Linked DNA regions of Rhinolophus ferrumequinum. The protein of the gene in region 1 interacts with the protein of each later gene in a biochemical or structural test. Links are inferred from orthologs where the notes say so. Each region holds a gene or a part of one and is shown in the gene's direction. Other genes may lie near its edges.

What was found.
Region 2: the proteins of APBB1 (region 1) and EVL form a complex in vitro, tested with the Homo sapiens proteins (2 studies listed by BioGRID). The link is inferred for Rhinolophus ferrumequinum from reciprocal best matches to the Homo sapiens genes APBB1 and EVL.

Annotation. Positions count from the first base shown.
Region 1 is NC_046294.1:45,383,382-45,390,754, forward strand, and holds the start of APBB1 (amyloid beta precursor protein binding family B member 1), read left to right. Parts: upstream 1-4,289; 5' UTR 4,290-4,421; intron 4,422-4,716; exon of another isoform or gene 4,717-4,868; intron 4,869-5,049; exon of another isoform or gene 5,050-5,117; intron 5,118-7,373. UniProt on the Homo sapiens protein: Transcription coregulator that can have both coactivator and corepressor functions. Adapter protein that forms a transcriptionally active complex with the gamma-secretase-derived amyloid precursor protein (APP) intracellular domain.
Region 2 is NC_046289.1:4,350,708-4,358,602, reverse strand, and holds the start of EVL (ena/VASP-like protein), read left to right. Parts: upstream 1-4,854; 5' UTR 4,855-5,137; coding exon 5,138-5,160; intron 5,161-7,895. UniProt on the Homo sapiens protein: Ena/VASP proteins are actin-associated proteins involved in a range of processes dependent on cytoskeleton remodeling and cell polarity such as axon guidance and lamellipodial and filopodial dynamics in migrating cells.

The DNA of each region.
Region 1 (7,373 bases):
GATGTGGCTGGAGTTTGTATTGCTGAACTGTGGGGGAGCCACCCCCACTTTGCAAAATCAGAAGCTAATGTTGCCAGATGAACTGCCAAAAGCAGAAGGACTTCTCCCTTCCTCCCATCTTCTTCATGTGAAGGTTCCCATTGGTAGAACCTCGCTGTAATAAAGAAACAAAAAAGTCTTGAGAACTGTAGTTTTCAGATTTCCAGCCCTGTTAGTACAGGGGAGATTATAGAAGAGTGGGTGTGGGAATTAGTACCAACACACAATATCTGCCACATGTATTCGTCATAAGTCTGGTTTGCAAGTGATAAAACCCAATTCAAAGTGGTGTAAGCAAAAAGGAGATGTATTGACTTATGTTACTTCAGGCAGAGGTAAATATAAGTGCTAAAGTGACGTTATCGGGCGTCTGTCTCTCTCCCTCCCTTAGCTCTGCTTCATTCTCAGGCAGGCTCATCCTTCTTGGTGGCAAGATATCCACCAGGCGTACGTTCTACCAGCACTTCTTGCCCAACAGTTGCAGGAAAATTCCTGGATCTGATTTTCACTGACCCAGATTTAGTCATGTGCCCATCTCTGAATTGATCACTTTGATCTCATCATGGGTTAGGAGCCTAACACTGAAGTGGGTTGTGGGACCCACTTCAAATGATTTCCATTTGAACCACATAGACTTAGAGTGGTGAGGGGACGTGTCTCAAAGAAAACTGAGGTGCTGTTGCCGGTAAAATGGGGAATGGATGCTGCGCAGATAACAACAGCAAACGCAACAATATGTTCATGACAGGATAATACCTATCTTGTAAGGTTTTTCTTCTTTTCCATGCAACCCTCCGTCCCTTCCTCAGCTAAACACTTTGAAAATATTGAGGTCACTAGGCATGCAGTACCTCAACCTCTTGCCTGCTCCCACTTTATTAATTACCCCATCTACACCCGTGTCCTCACGCCTATCCCTTTAGCCTGTAGAGTTAAGGTTTCCAGTTCTCCTGGTGAGCCCTTGATCCCACCTCCTCTCATTGCCTCCAGGGTCTTGCTCCATCTCTCAGATGCTTTTTTCTTTACTTTCAAATTCATCTTCTGCCCTGGTACCTTTTTGTAGTGTATGCCCATGTTCAAGTCTCTACCACCTTAAAAAGAAAAGACAAATCAGAATCTTTAGCTTCATATCACTTTTCAATTACTGTCCATTCTTTCTTCCAAATTTCTCAAGGAGGCATTCTGCACTTACTAAGTCTACTTCCTCATTTTCATTTGCTCAACTCATTGCATTATGGCTTCTGCCTCCATTTTCTGCTGATACAGATCACATCCTGGGTATCCATGGCCTCCATGTTACCAAATTCAAAGGATACTTTTTGCCTTGACCTTATTGGAAATCTTTGCTGCATTAGATGCTGCTGACCACTTCTCCCTCCTTGAAAATCTTCCCTCCCTTGGATTTATTCCATGACACTACTCTCCCCTGATTCTCCTCTTACTGTCTGTTTCTTCTCAGTTTTCTTCTTTTCCTCTGCTGGTTCCCCAAATGTTGGCATTCCCAGAGTTCAGTCCTCAGTCCTTTTCTCTTCTCACCTTATATGCTCTCCCTGGGAATGTATTAAAATAGTCCTGCCAAAGAAGGATGTTGAAGAAGTCCTTGCCAGACCCAACATCTGACTTATAAATTCCACTCCATACATTATGTGGGAAGATTTTACTCCTTATACATTTTCCAAATGATAACAAACACCCAGAAGAAAGAGGGTTTATTGGATCAACTACAAGAAAAATTACAATACCAAAGCAATACTTACATGTAGTGGTAGAAAAAGCTACCTTTGCTCCACTTCGTGACTTTGCTCCTAATACAGATGAAAGCTCTATTCTTCCATATAGGTGACTTGGGTGCCAACTTCCTGGTAATGCATAAAGCCAGTGCTCTTGATTAAATGACTCTGAATGGATTTGCTTCTAATTCAAGTTTTTCTTGATAAGTCCAAGGGAATAATATTAAAAGATTCCTGCCTCAGAGGGATCTACATTGGTTAGAACAACACACAGCATCTGAGGTGGTTCATAAGCTATTGTTTACTCCTAGGCCATGGAGAGCCTCAGAAGGGGGAAGAGAAACAAGTAGAGAAAGGATGGATGAAGGGCACAGGTTGACACCCATTGATCAGGAGGCGTTGCAGATCTCCCCCATTGAGGAGATCAGGGATTCAGGAAGACGGTGTGTGGGTCAAACTGCACTGTGTGTGAACTGCACATTTTCCTTTTGCATCTTAGCTAATTAGTCTACTCTTTCACACCCTGACCATCCTATCTGTGTTCCTCTGGTTACCTGAAGAGATTTCCCTGGATATTGCAGCCATCCTGCCCAATGGGGTTGGGAAGACAAGTATACTGATAATATTTCTGGCTTTTTATTTGCTCAAGCAGAAATTTGGAAGGCATCCTTTCCTTCATACTTTCATAGCCAATCAGTCAATTGATCACTGATTTCTATCTCCTGAATATTTACTAAACCCATATAATTGTTTCCATCCTCGTCCCACCACTATAGTCATCTCCCACCTAGACTATATCAATTGCTTCCTAACTGGTCCCTGCACTGCCAATTTTGCTCTCTTCCCATCTATTCCCCACTTAGCAGCCAGAAGTGATCTTCTAAAATGCAAGGGACAACATGCCACTCCCTTGCCTCAAACCCTTTGATGATTTTCCATTGCCCTTAAACTAAACTTTAAAACCCTCAGCGTAACATACAAGGCCCTTCTTGATTTGGAACCTACCCACATTTCCAGCTCCACTTATGCCATGCCTCTCCGCTATCACCCATACTGGCCTTCTCGTACTTCTCCTTTGACTTGGAATGATTTTCTCTTCCATGGCTGACCTCTATTGCCTTCACCCCATTCCCCTCACATAAGTGCCACTTCCTTCTTAAAGCCTCCCCAAATCTCCCCAGGCAAAATTTAGTCCACTTACCTAGCATCCTGCACATCTCATTCAAGATACTCATCACATTTCTAATCACGTTTAATGTGTCTTTCCCCTGTTACTTAAACTTCAAGAGGGCAGGAACTGAATCTTGTTTCTTCATGTGTGCTTAGCACCAAGGACAGTGTCTCACACATAATAATTATTAGTCAAAAGAGAATGAATAAGTGAATGAGGACACCTTTCTTCTCCTGGGTAACTCTTACTCATTTTCCAAGGACCAGGATCAGATGTTATATACTCCAGTTTGGGTTACAGTCAAATCGGATTCATCTTTGGATCCCTAAACTTAGCTCGGGACCTGGTACATGGTTCATACATATATCATAGAGGTTTGTCAAATCATAATAAACTCTTGGCCAGGAGTTGATAATTGTTGAAACTGAGTCATGGGTATATGAGGGTTCATTACACTGTTCTGTCTCCTTTTGTATACAGTTGAAAATTTCCATAATAAAACATTAAAACATTTATATTCACCTTAAGTCAAGTGAAAGTATAGTCAAAGACGTTCTTGAGGCTTCTAGCTTGGGCAAGCCAGTAGATGGTGGTGTCATTCTCTGGGATGGAGGAAGTGGAGCTGCCTCTACTCTTGTGTGTGTGTGTGTGTGTGTGTGTGTGTGTGTGTACACGTGCGCGTGCATGCACATGGAGTGTGTTGGGGAGCGTTCTTTTTCACCCCAGTGAAAATTCTTAGAAGGCCAATAAAGGGGATGAAATAACGAATTTCTATTTGGGCACCTTTAAGTGTTAGAAACCTGACGGCACCTCCAGTCAGTTGCACAATAGTAGCTACCATAAATGAAAACCTCTGCCTTAAAGGAATGAGCCATGAGAGGGTTTCAGGATGGTAACAATCCCCTCATGATCCTTGGTGGCCTCTGGGCCACTGATCTGACCACTGGGAACGATGGCACTATCCAGGCAATCTGCAGTAAACACTGTGCCCCACTATTCCTTCCTTCACACTTTTCACCCATTCTCCCCTTCTTCATTACCTCTTATGTATTTCTACTGGGGAGCGATTTATTGACACCTGCAAGGCCATGGTGTCACAGCTTTATGTTCAGCAGCAGGGGTAGGGTGTCTAGAAACATCTGGTTCCAGTCTGAGTTCACCACCTTGTGACTGCAGGCAAATCTTTTTACCTTTCTGAATCTCAGCATCTGCCTCTGAAAAATGAGGATAACAATAGCGGCGATTTCACAGGGGTCAGTCTGACGCGAGGATGAATGCATGTAAAGGATTTAACACAGAGCCTGGCACAGTGTAAGCGGTCAATAAATACGAGCTATTATTATCGCCAGCGCTGTGTCCTCATCGCCTCTCCACCAGGACGCCCGGGAGTGCTGCCGCAAGAGCGGAGCAAGCTGCCTTCTCGGAGCCCTCCCTGCGCAGCTGCGGGCTGGCCCCGCCACAGCCACCCAGGCTCCTACCCGGTGGGTGCGTCGCCCCACGGGGGTGCGGGGCGGGGCCCTGCCGGCGCACAGGGCGACTCCGGGGCCTCGGGGTGGAGGGCGGTGTCGGGCTGGGTAGGGGTCGGCAGACGCGTGGGTAGCGCTGTGGGACCCGGGAACCCCGCGCTGGCGTAGCTGCTGGCGTGAGGCTTCCGCGGTGGGCTCACAGAGGCCGCAGGGTGGCATTGGGTGGGGCCCTTCGGGACACTGCGTCCAAGTGCAGCCCCGAGCGGCTCGCGCTCGCGCGCCCGCGCTCGGCCCAAGATGGCGCCCCTCCCCCCGCCCGCGCGCGCCCTCGCAGCTCGGGGCGCGGCCCCGCGGCCCGCGCGCTCCTGGGCGGGGGATGTTGTGATGGAGAAGCCGCCGCGGAGCCCGAGCCCCGCAGCCTGAGCCACCTCCGCCACCTCGGCCTGGGGCCTCCCCGCGCAGGTAGGAGCTGCCCCGGCCCGCGCCCAGCCCCGGAGGCCGGATCCCGACCCCCAGCGGCCCGCGGACTGCGCAGCCCCTTACCCGTGGGGGCCCGGGTACCCCCGGCCAGGCCCCATCTCCGCTGGCAGTCCTCGCACCGCGAGCATTCCCACCATCTCCTGTTCCCCCACCTCCATTGTAGGCTCCACCTCGGTCCTCAGCACGGTCATTCCGGACCTTTACCTCCTGCCCCTCCGGGATGAATAGGGGGCAAGTATTGGAGACGCGAAGAGAGGGGCAGTGGGGGGTGGGGGATGGGGGATGGGAGGTGAAGGGCTGGGTAGGGGACGTGGGGTGAGGTAGGCAGAGGCCGCACGTTTTCCTGCAGGGTCCCAGGCCTGGAATCTGTCAAGCCGCATTCTGTCGCTCTCAGCGACCGAAAAGTGTGCTCTGGGGCCGGCTGTGTCCCCAGCTCTGCCAGGAGGCCTAGCACTCACAGAAGCACTCATTAGGAGCAGTGTTCCCACCGCCAATTCAGAGGTTGTTCCGAAACCTATTTTGAATCTGCCTGTGCATTTCTTGCATTCCAAACCTTCCAGCATAGCCCCAACTTACACCACTCTTCAAAGACAAAACCTTGTCTACACTTACTGTCTTCATTTCCTCACTTCCCATTCATTCTTAAAACCGGTTCACTCTGTTTTCTGTCTCTCATACTCAACTGAAACTGCTCAAGCCAAGGTCACCTGAGACCTCTATGTGGCCAAGTCCAATGCACACTTTACTGTTATCCCCTTTACGTTTTCATAGTATTCAGTGGTGTGTGTCAACTCTCCTTGAAACATTTTCCTGGTTTCTCTCCTGGCATTGTCTGCTCCTTCTCAATCTTATTTGATACCTTTTTCCTTTTCCTTTAGATGTCAGTGAAGCTCTTAGTTCTGTTCTGAGCTATCTTCTTTCATTCTGCACTTTCTCCTGGGTATTTTATTCACTCCCAAGGCTTCAAATTTCATCTCTCTATTTATCTATATCTATCTATATCTCTATATCTCTCTATCTCTATCTATATCTATATCTATACCTATAGGTGATCATACCTATACCTATAGGTATAGATATATACATAGATAGAGATAGAGAGATATAGACATATAGATAGGTAGAGATATAGATATAGATAGATAGATAGATATAGAGATATAGATAGATATAGATATAGATATCTGGCTCAGACTAGATTCAATATCCAACTGCCCTCACGACATCCTCTTGGAAGTCCAGCAGGAATCCAAACCTATAGATCCCAAGCTGAATTATCTTCCCTATGTTCCCTCTCTAGCCTTCTTCCAAATCTGTTCTTTCTTTAACTCTCAGAAATGGCTACTTTCTGATCAGTTACCTAAGCTGTAATCCTGGGCAACATTCTAGATTAACCTCTACTCCCTCACAGTCTACATCTAATGTTACCGAGTCCTGTCACATCCTGGTACCTAAATATTTTTCAAATGCATTCATTTTACTCCATCCCCACTGCCACCAAACTTAATCTAGGCCACAATCATTCTTTTCCCCTTGACTGGTCTAATAGCATACCCTCTTGCCTACCTCCCTATAACTACTCTCAACACAGTATGATCCTTTAAAAAATGTATCTGTTTGTTCATTTATTCATTCAACTAATATGCTTTGAGCACCTAGTATATACTAAATACTGTGTTAGGCACTGAAGATATAATTATGAACAGAATAGATTGGTTCCTTATCCCCTTGGAGTTGACAATCTGGGGGGGGCGGATTAAATAAGAATAAAATTACAAATTGTACTAAATACCATGAAGGAAATGTGGATGGTGCCCTGGGAACACAAAAGAGCACAAGCTAAACTGGTCTGGCGGGTAGGGAGAGAAAATCCAGGAAGGCTTCTCTGAGAACGTGACATTTGAACTGAGGTAAAATATGAGTAGAATTTAGTTAGGCTGAGAAAGTAGGGGAAGGAGGTTCCAGGCAGAAGGGAAATCAAATGCAAACACCGTGTGGAAAGAGACAGCATATTATCCTTGAGGAATCAAAGAAGGCCGATGAGGCTGGAGAACAGAATGCCAGAGCTGGAGAGATAGGCAGGGATAACTGAGCAGGACAACTGAGGCCATGTTACAAATTTTGGTCTTAAGGTCTTTGTTCTTGGTGTGGATTGTTGATGGTAGTGGATATGGAGAATAGATCAAATCTAGAAATATGTCTCAGAGAGAAAATTGTCAGTACCTGGAGATGGATTAAGTATAGGGAGTCAGGGAGAAGGTAGTGTCAAGGATGGTACCCCTACCTCTGGTTTGCACAACAGAATGGTTGGTCATATCATTCCACGATCCAGGATCCTGAAAGAGGACCACTTAGTGGTGAGTGAGAGAAACATGAGCGTGCATGTTTGAGAGGCCTTTGAGACATCCAAGTGGAGATGTTGAATGAAAAGTTGATATACATGTGTGGAGCGCAGATGAGGGGTCTGAAATGGAGGTGTAAATTTGG
Region 2 (7,895 bases), on another chromosome or scaffold:
TCCTCAGCGACTCTCAGCAGGTTAGAGGCCTGAGACAGGTAATGGACAACGGCTACTCCTCAGCCCAGGCCGATATGTGAGATTAAAAATATATATCTATTGCCTCTCAGGCATTCTGAAGTTGTCATGGTCACCATGGGCTGGTTTATGTTAGGAGGGGAACTCGATGGAGTTTTGAAGCATATGCCACAGTGTTAGCTGCTGTCGATGGTGGTTCATGTGTGCCAGGGGGTCACCTCTGGGGCACCCCCAGATGTGCTGTGATCCCGTCTTCGGATTAGGATACTGAGGCTTAGACGGGTAAGAATTTGTCCGAAGCTTCTCAGGTTGACAGTTGAACTGGATTCAGAAGCACACTTTCCAAACCGTTGTGGAGAGAAGGCGGAAGGAGGAAAGCTCTGGAACAGGGGAGGTGGCGTGAGTAAGTGTGCCGGGTCAGTGGGGATCTGGTTGGCACGTGTGGGAGGTGTGTGGAGGAGCTGAATGCCAGGCTGGGGGCGAGACTTCATTCTGCGGGTTTCAACTGGAAGGTGCCAGGACAGGTGGCTGTGTGCAACAGGGAGGAAGGCAGGCAGGAAGATGGAGGTGAGGGGAGTCTTAATTAGGGTGCTGGAGGTGAGGCTCCAGTGAGGACACTTGTGAGTGCCTCTTACCTCCACTCGGCCCCCTGCTTGTTGGAAAAACCCACGGATGGGCCGTGAGGAAAGAATCGTATTTTTAGTCATGACTGTAACTGATTTGCATTTAAGTCTCCTCTTGGTTGTCTATACACAGCTCAGCAGTGCGCGTGCACCTCTGTAAGTGTCAGAAGAGCGTTTCTGTTCTACTTGATGGGAACATTAGACTCTCTTCATTTGCTCCGTCTTTATTTTGCTGCACGTACATCATGTCAGGGCTGTGTGCCTACAGCCTAAACACAGTGGGAGAGGAGACACTGCTTGTGAGGCAAACCCACAGGGATTTACACTCTCAGACCATCAGCCTCCAAACGAGCTGGGGTGAGGATTTGGCACCGACAAATCCGAAGTTCACCTTTGTGGGAAATTGACCATTTCATGGGGAAAGACGTTGCTTGCTGAACCTGTTAAGCTAAGAGCACTGTTTCAGATAGATTTCAAACATCCCTCTCATTTAGCTTCCCCAGTTGTCAGGGGCCGGGGGATACCTCATGTTCACCATCATGTTTTTGTTCAGTATCTGTTTTGTTTCTGGAGATGCCAGCATACACGTCCAGTAACTGCAGCAGGCCAGGCCCAGATGGCAGCAGGGCCTAGTCAGGAAGCTTTGGTGCTTAGGATGAGACTAGAAAGAGGGAGTGAGTCCAGATTAACTAGGCTGAGTGTGATGACATGAGCCTGGCGAGGCCCTGGGTGCTGGCACTGACGAGCTGCCAGGTCACTTAGGCCAGGTGGTTGCACACTGCGGCAGGGCCTGTCCCTGCTGGGGAGAGAGGAGACCCGGCAGCAGGGACTCGGGCTCTTCATTCCTTCGGCCGGAATTGGCTACTTGGATCCGTTTTCTGTTCTTATCAGCTTTACCTTCCACGGAAGTGGTATTTTAGAAAACAGAAGGCTAAAAATTTAATATCTGGCTGTTCCTTGAAAGTGACAAAGGACACACAAGTCCCAGAGTAGCAACATGCTTTCTCCGAGCCTTGAGTCATTGGTGGACGACCTGGGATGACTTTTTTTTCCCAACACTGTGTGGTCACAGGAGTGCCATTGAGTGAGGCGTGGAGTGGTCAGGAGTCAGGGACCCTTACTTATGTCCTTATTCCTAACACTTTGGTGTTACCGGTTATCAAGAGGTCACATGGGAGCACCCAGCCTTGGAAGCAGACCCAGTTCCCAACCTGGTCCTGAGACTATGTCAACTCAGGTTTCCACCCCTTCCTTCCTGGGGCAGCTGAGGCTCTCTGGAGCCCTTAGCGGTCTCTTGCCTGGCCGTGAAATCTGGGGATTAGCCAGGGTCCAGCAGGATGAAAGAACCCCAGAGAGTGATCATGTCCCAGCCCTCTGTCAGGCACAGGCTGCCTGGCAGTCTCTCAGGGAGGCAGCCTGGGGCAGTTGGATCATTGGTATTGGGACGCCAGGAGGGCACAGAGGTTAAAAACCTTGGACCTGGGTCCAAGTCATTGCTCTGCCACTTAATAGCAATATAACCTTGGCCAGGTTACTTAACCATTTGGCACCCAGTACCTTATTAGTAAATTGGGGGATCTCATAAAATTCTGTTTAAAATACACTTGGTGCTAGGATTTGGAGATTTTTCACCGTTTCTGTCCGCTCTGCGCTCTCCCTTCTGAATGGCCCTGAAAGAGGCGATTCTTGAGTCACTGGTAGAGAAAGGCACAAAGTCCAGAGGTTCTCCGTCCCACCAGGCCGGTCACACTGGGCCTGCCTGGTGGCCAGGGGAAAGGCCAGTTCCCACTGGGCCAGACGGCTGGGAGTTAAGACCCCTGCAGCTCCTCTCCATACCTTGCAAAGAGTGCCAGGAATGGAGGTTTTGGCCTTTCTACCAACCAGCAAACCCATCACGTAATACTGAGTGTCTCCTTGCCCTCGGGAAGCTTGCAACTGGTTGATAACCAGCTGCCCCAACCCCACTTATCTGACTAACCCCAGGTAGTTTAATAAATAAAAACATCATATAATTGTATTTGGTGTGGGTGAGTTGTTCTTCCCAAGACTTAGGTCAGCTCCAGTGCTTTATTTTTTAACTTAGGATTTAGGACAGTGATTTTATACACATATCCACACATCCCTTGTCCTGAGAATCACAGGACAGCAATACCTTCCTTGCTCCTCTTCCGCTCAAAAAAAACAAAAGTAAACAAGCGACCAGTGAACGGGCAGACAGAACACTTGAGGGAGGCGGGTGGCCTCAGCACGAAGAGCCGGCAGCTATCAGCTCTGCCCGGGGAGACCGGCTTGTGAAGTAACAAAGGGGAGGAAGAATGTTCCTATAAAATTTGTGTACGTGATGAAGACCGCTCACGACTCCACTGTCCCACCTTGTGGGGTCCTTACAAGCATTCTGTGACAGAGGCGTGGGCAGTGTCCACATTATTCCAGATGTACCTCTGGGGAATCCCAGGCTCGGGACTACGTTGCTTGTCAGTGATCACAGAGGCAGAGCTGGGACTTCAGCCTGGGTTAGTTAATGGCTGACTCCTGTGTTTTCTGTTATGCCATGATTCTGCCCCTAGAAGGTCTCAGGCAGAGACTTGTGCGGAATATTGTGGGAGACGTTCTGGATCCTCTTAGTTGATGATTGCTATTTGGTGTGAGGGACCATGGGGTTCCCCAAAATTTCTTTCTCACTAATCAGTCCGCCTCAGTTGGCCATTATCGCTTCATTTCTTTGCGGCAAGTTCTGGACTCTCACTTCTCTTCATGATAGAGGTAACGTAAGAAAAGGGGTGCGGTCATCCCAGAGCACCTCATACAAGAACCAGGTCACTCTCCCTGGTAGAAAGCTGCACAGAAGGAGGTTCATTCAGCGAACCTCTGTCAGGCTCCGTACCAGGCACTGGAAATACAGAAACAGTCTCCCGCAGCCCGCGTCCTCAAGGACCACAGATGCGTGGGGCGCACGCAGCATGCTGTAAGGCGGTGCCACCGGCAGCAGGGAGAGCGAGTGGCTAACGGTCCTGGGGACGGAGCCGAGGGAACAGTATGCACTGCTTGGAAGGGCGCAGGTCACGTAGGGGGCAAGGGATAATCTGGGCAGTTGGCCCATGGACCAAAGAAAGGAGGTCCTGGCAAATTTAGGGAACTGGGGCTGTCTGGCTAGATTTGGGGGTTTGTGAAGAGTTTTAATGGAAGAAAGAGTTGGAGAAGTCAGATTCGGTATGCTGGGCTCAGGCATTTTCACTTAATCCTATGGGCATTGAGAAACTAATGCAGGTTTCAAATAGGGGGCATGAAAATCAGATTTAGAAAAATTGCTCTGGCAGGTTTTGAGAGAAGGGATGGAAAGACCAGTTGCTAACACAGCAGACCAAGTGAGAAATGCTGGAGGCATGATGCTGCAGGTGTGAGCTCAGGCCGTTGGTGGGCGTGGGGAAAGGGTCAGATTCAGAGAAACCTTTTTGAGGTAGAATCAGAATTAGTGATTATATTTGTGGTATGAGGGAGAGAAAAAAGTCAAGAGTGACTCACAGGTTTTTATTTAAGATCTGCCTCCCTTGTTTTATACAGATTTGCAGTCCAAATGAGAAAGACTCTTCTTAATGGCAAGTTCAGAATGCAGTCGCAGCTCATTTGCCAGATCTTGCCAGCTTGGGCTTTACAAACTGGTAAACATTTCCCTTTTTTGGCTGACATCTCGTTTCTTTTTTTTTTTTTTTTAAACTTCTGTTCTGAAATTATTACGGCAATTTTTGTACATCAAGGAATTGATAAGACCCTGGTACCTATTAGACACTCAATAAATGAATAACTGAATAAATGAGATCAGCCATCACGATTGACCTAGAAGGTCACGTTGTTCATGGTAAAGAGGTGGGCATAAAATGGGACTTTTGTGATTCCAAAGCAGTTCATGCGTTTGTGATAAAGTAATGCTTGGTAGGGATGGGTAAGATTCAGAATTCTGCAGAATTTTCAGTCCAGTGTAGCTGGGTTTCACTACACCATGTTCGCTGACCACGGTGGTCATACCTGGTCATTAGAGCAGCAGCAGCCACAGGAAGATGAGGTAATCAGGCAGACCGCAGTAGAACAGGTTGCATTCTCATTCCTTTTTGCTTTTGCCCCCCTGCAGAATTCTGGGTGGAGGTGGGATGTGTTCTGTGATTCACCGAGGATCCCAGGCGTGCCCGAGGTTCCACTTATTTCCCTGGACTAATCCAGCTCCCAGCCTGGAGCCTAAGCATACACTGCATTAATCAGACTTGCTGGAATGATCACATGGTTTTCGTGCTGCCTCCCCTGTTAGCTGCCGCCTGTCAGCAGCTGGCAGAGCTGGCGGCTGCAGGCCCCTGTCTGCAGAAAGCCTTTTACTTCAGAATCTTGGGGGGTGTGGAAACCCCGCCTCTTTTTCCTGCACTTTGCACCATCTGACTGACTAAATGGTTGTCCTCCAAACCAAAAAGGCTACCAGACAATCTAAGGAAATTGTCTCTGACTAGGTCATGTTCGCATTTGAAGAATTCAGGTATGCTCTGGGTTTTCTACATCAGTCTGCCGCTGGGTTTTTGTTCTCGTAGGTTTTTGCTGTGTAATGCCAGCTTAGGTTCTGGCTGGTTCTCAGACAGAAAGGGGTTCTTCTCTGCATTTGGTGGGGTTTACCCCAGTCGGGGTGGGTGGGAGGCACAGAGGTGGTGCAGATCCAAGGTGTTTACCGCATGCACAAACGCAGCATGGATAATTGGTATGATGGTGTGCAAATTTGCAGAGGACCCCACCTTGTGCCTTACTTGAGGTGCTGTTGCTGATGTAGAGTTGTGAATACAGAATGGTAACTGTTTATCCAGAATGAGTCTCTGGCTATCTTTTGTTTTTCTTCCTTTGTCAAACTCATGGAGTCTACTGCTCTCTTAAAAAATGCTAATCGTAACAGCGAATTCTGCACATCTGTCTGCTCAGTTGAGATTTGATTCGGGCTCTGATTTTCCTCATTGTCAATAGCAATCTTGTGTCTGGCCAGTTTCTGGGAAGTGCCCTGAATGTTTTGTTAACAGGGCCCTTCTTTGCTTTTGCAAGCTTTTCAGCTGCTCTATTATTAATGCTCCAAATTAGAGTCTTTTGTGAATCTTACTGCTTCTCTTTCTTCCACCTCTTCTCCGGGAATCTGTCCCTGGGTGTGAATGTGGGAAGGGATGTTCCCACATTCCCACAGAGATAGTTTCTAAGACATGAAAATAAGAAGGTGGAATGGGAGGGTTATCTGATCATGCGTGTGCATATTTCCATGTCTTTGGAACATATGGAAGAGAGTGTATCTGTGTGTGTGTTTCTAACCTCTGACAGCTTCTCATTTCTCAAGAGGAATTTCTGTGTATTTTAGAACTGAGCATAAATACCATGTCGATGGTCAAAGAAGTGACTGTGAGGCAACCTCCATGCTGCTGCTACAGACATTAAATGTTGATAGAGTAACCACTTTCCATTATTTGTAAGAGGAAACTAGAGACCTTTCCATCAAAATCAAGGAAGTAGATGAGAGAATCATCAGATTTCCACAAAGCAGGGCTACAAAGGTGGCCCTTTTTATAACTTGGGGCTTTGGATCCAGGAAGTTATTCTTTGTTTAATAGCATGTTCCTGCATTATTTCTAATGGACTAGGCTTGTGCAAAGGACATTCTTTTCATGTGGCAACATGCTCTGGTGACATGGGGCCTGTGCCCTTACACAGTGACCAGAACTTACTGTTTTGTAATAGCTCCACTAATTACTAACAAGAACTTATTAAATGTTTGACATATTACAGTAGCTTGTTCCTTAGGGAATGAAACAGGAGTCCTGGGTTCTAATCCCAGTTTCAAAATTAGCTTTTCTGATCCTTGTGAGAGTTACAAAAGAATTTTATAAATTATAGAAAGTAGCATAATTATGAGGGTCGTATTTGATTGTTAGCATTTAATCTAGATGGAGTGAGCCTTACCTGCTGCCTGGAACAAAGCTGGGAGCCTTCGCTGCATTTCATAGTTAAGGGACACAGACATGTATCGACAGAGCCGTACCGTTGCGGTGGCTCCTCGCCCAAGAGCCCAGAGCTGGGTCTGATGAGGTGGAAAGGGGTCAAGGTAAAGGCCACTGCACTGCTGACCTGAGAAGTGGGGCCTCCGTGGAAAGTAGGCCAGAAGGAGGAAGCCTCTGACCCGGCGTCAAGCTTCTGCCTGAGCCAGCCCTGAAGAGCTTGGCTGCGTGTGATTGCATTGTGACGGCTGCTCAGCACCAGACAAATGGCTTTCTTCTTTAGTCACAGAGTTTGCGTGTGCCGGGGCCAGGTGATCACGGTGGGGCAGCAGAGACTAAAGATGCTTAGCCCGTTCGCTTAGGTCAGGGTGGCTCCTGAGCTGCCGGATGCAGCAGTCTTCACCTGGAGAGCTCGCCACCTGGAGAGCTCGCGGAACTCGGATTGCTCAGGCCCCTCCCGGAGGTTCAGATCCAGGAGGTCTATGGTGAGGCTTGAGAACCTGCATTCCTAACAAGTTCCCAGGTGATTCTGATGCTGCAGGTCTGAGAACATTGGCTTGGGGAAAGCAGATGTTGTCACTGAGATGGGAAGTTGGAGGCAAAGGCAGAATGGAGATACAGGTGGGAAAAAAATCAGGAGCCAAAAGCAGCAGCTCAAGTACAGGTAGGAGGACCCTCAGAGCGTCTTGGTCAAGGGGAGGTCAAACCATGGCCATGTCACAGCAGCCCTCCTCCTCCTGGGAGGCCTCAGAGCAGTGGGAAGAGGAATGCGGGGTGAGAATCAGGCCTTGGCTTATAATCCTGATTCTGTCGGATTCAGGTACTACTTTGTGGGCTGCGCAGGTGTCTTGATATTTCTCAGTCTCCATTTTCTCAACTGAAAAATGGGGATAGCAGTTCTTGCCAAGCAAACCTGTAATGCTGTCAGCAATCAGTGAGGGCTTAAACTTTATACATTACAGCGCTCTTTCTACGTGAATGTCAGGGGAGGAGGGTGCTGGGGGGACCCCATCAGCTTGTCCACGATGTTTATGGTCCTCCCGTGTGGATACACCCCTCCATACACACAGCCCAACCCTGAGAGCATAAGGGCCACGTTCATTTTAAAAAGGAAGTCTGGTTTTGATACAGACACATGTACATACCATTGTTCCCTACTGGACTACAAGTTCTCGAGAACTTTCATGAATCCTGTGTTTTTAACTTTGCTTCCTTCGTGCCTAAAACTGCTTGACATACAGTAGGCCTT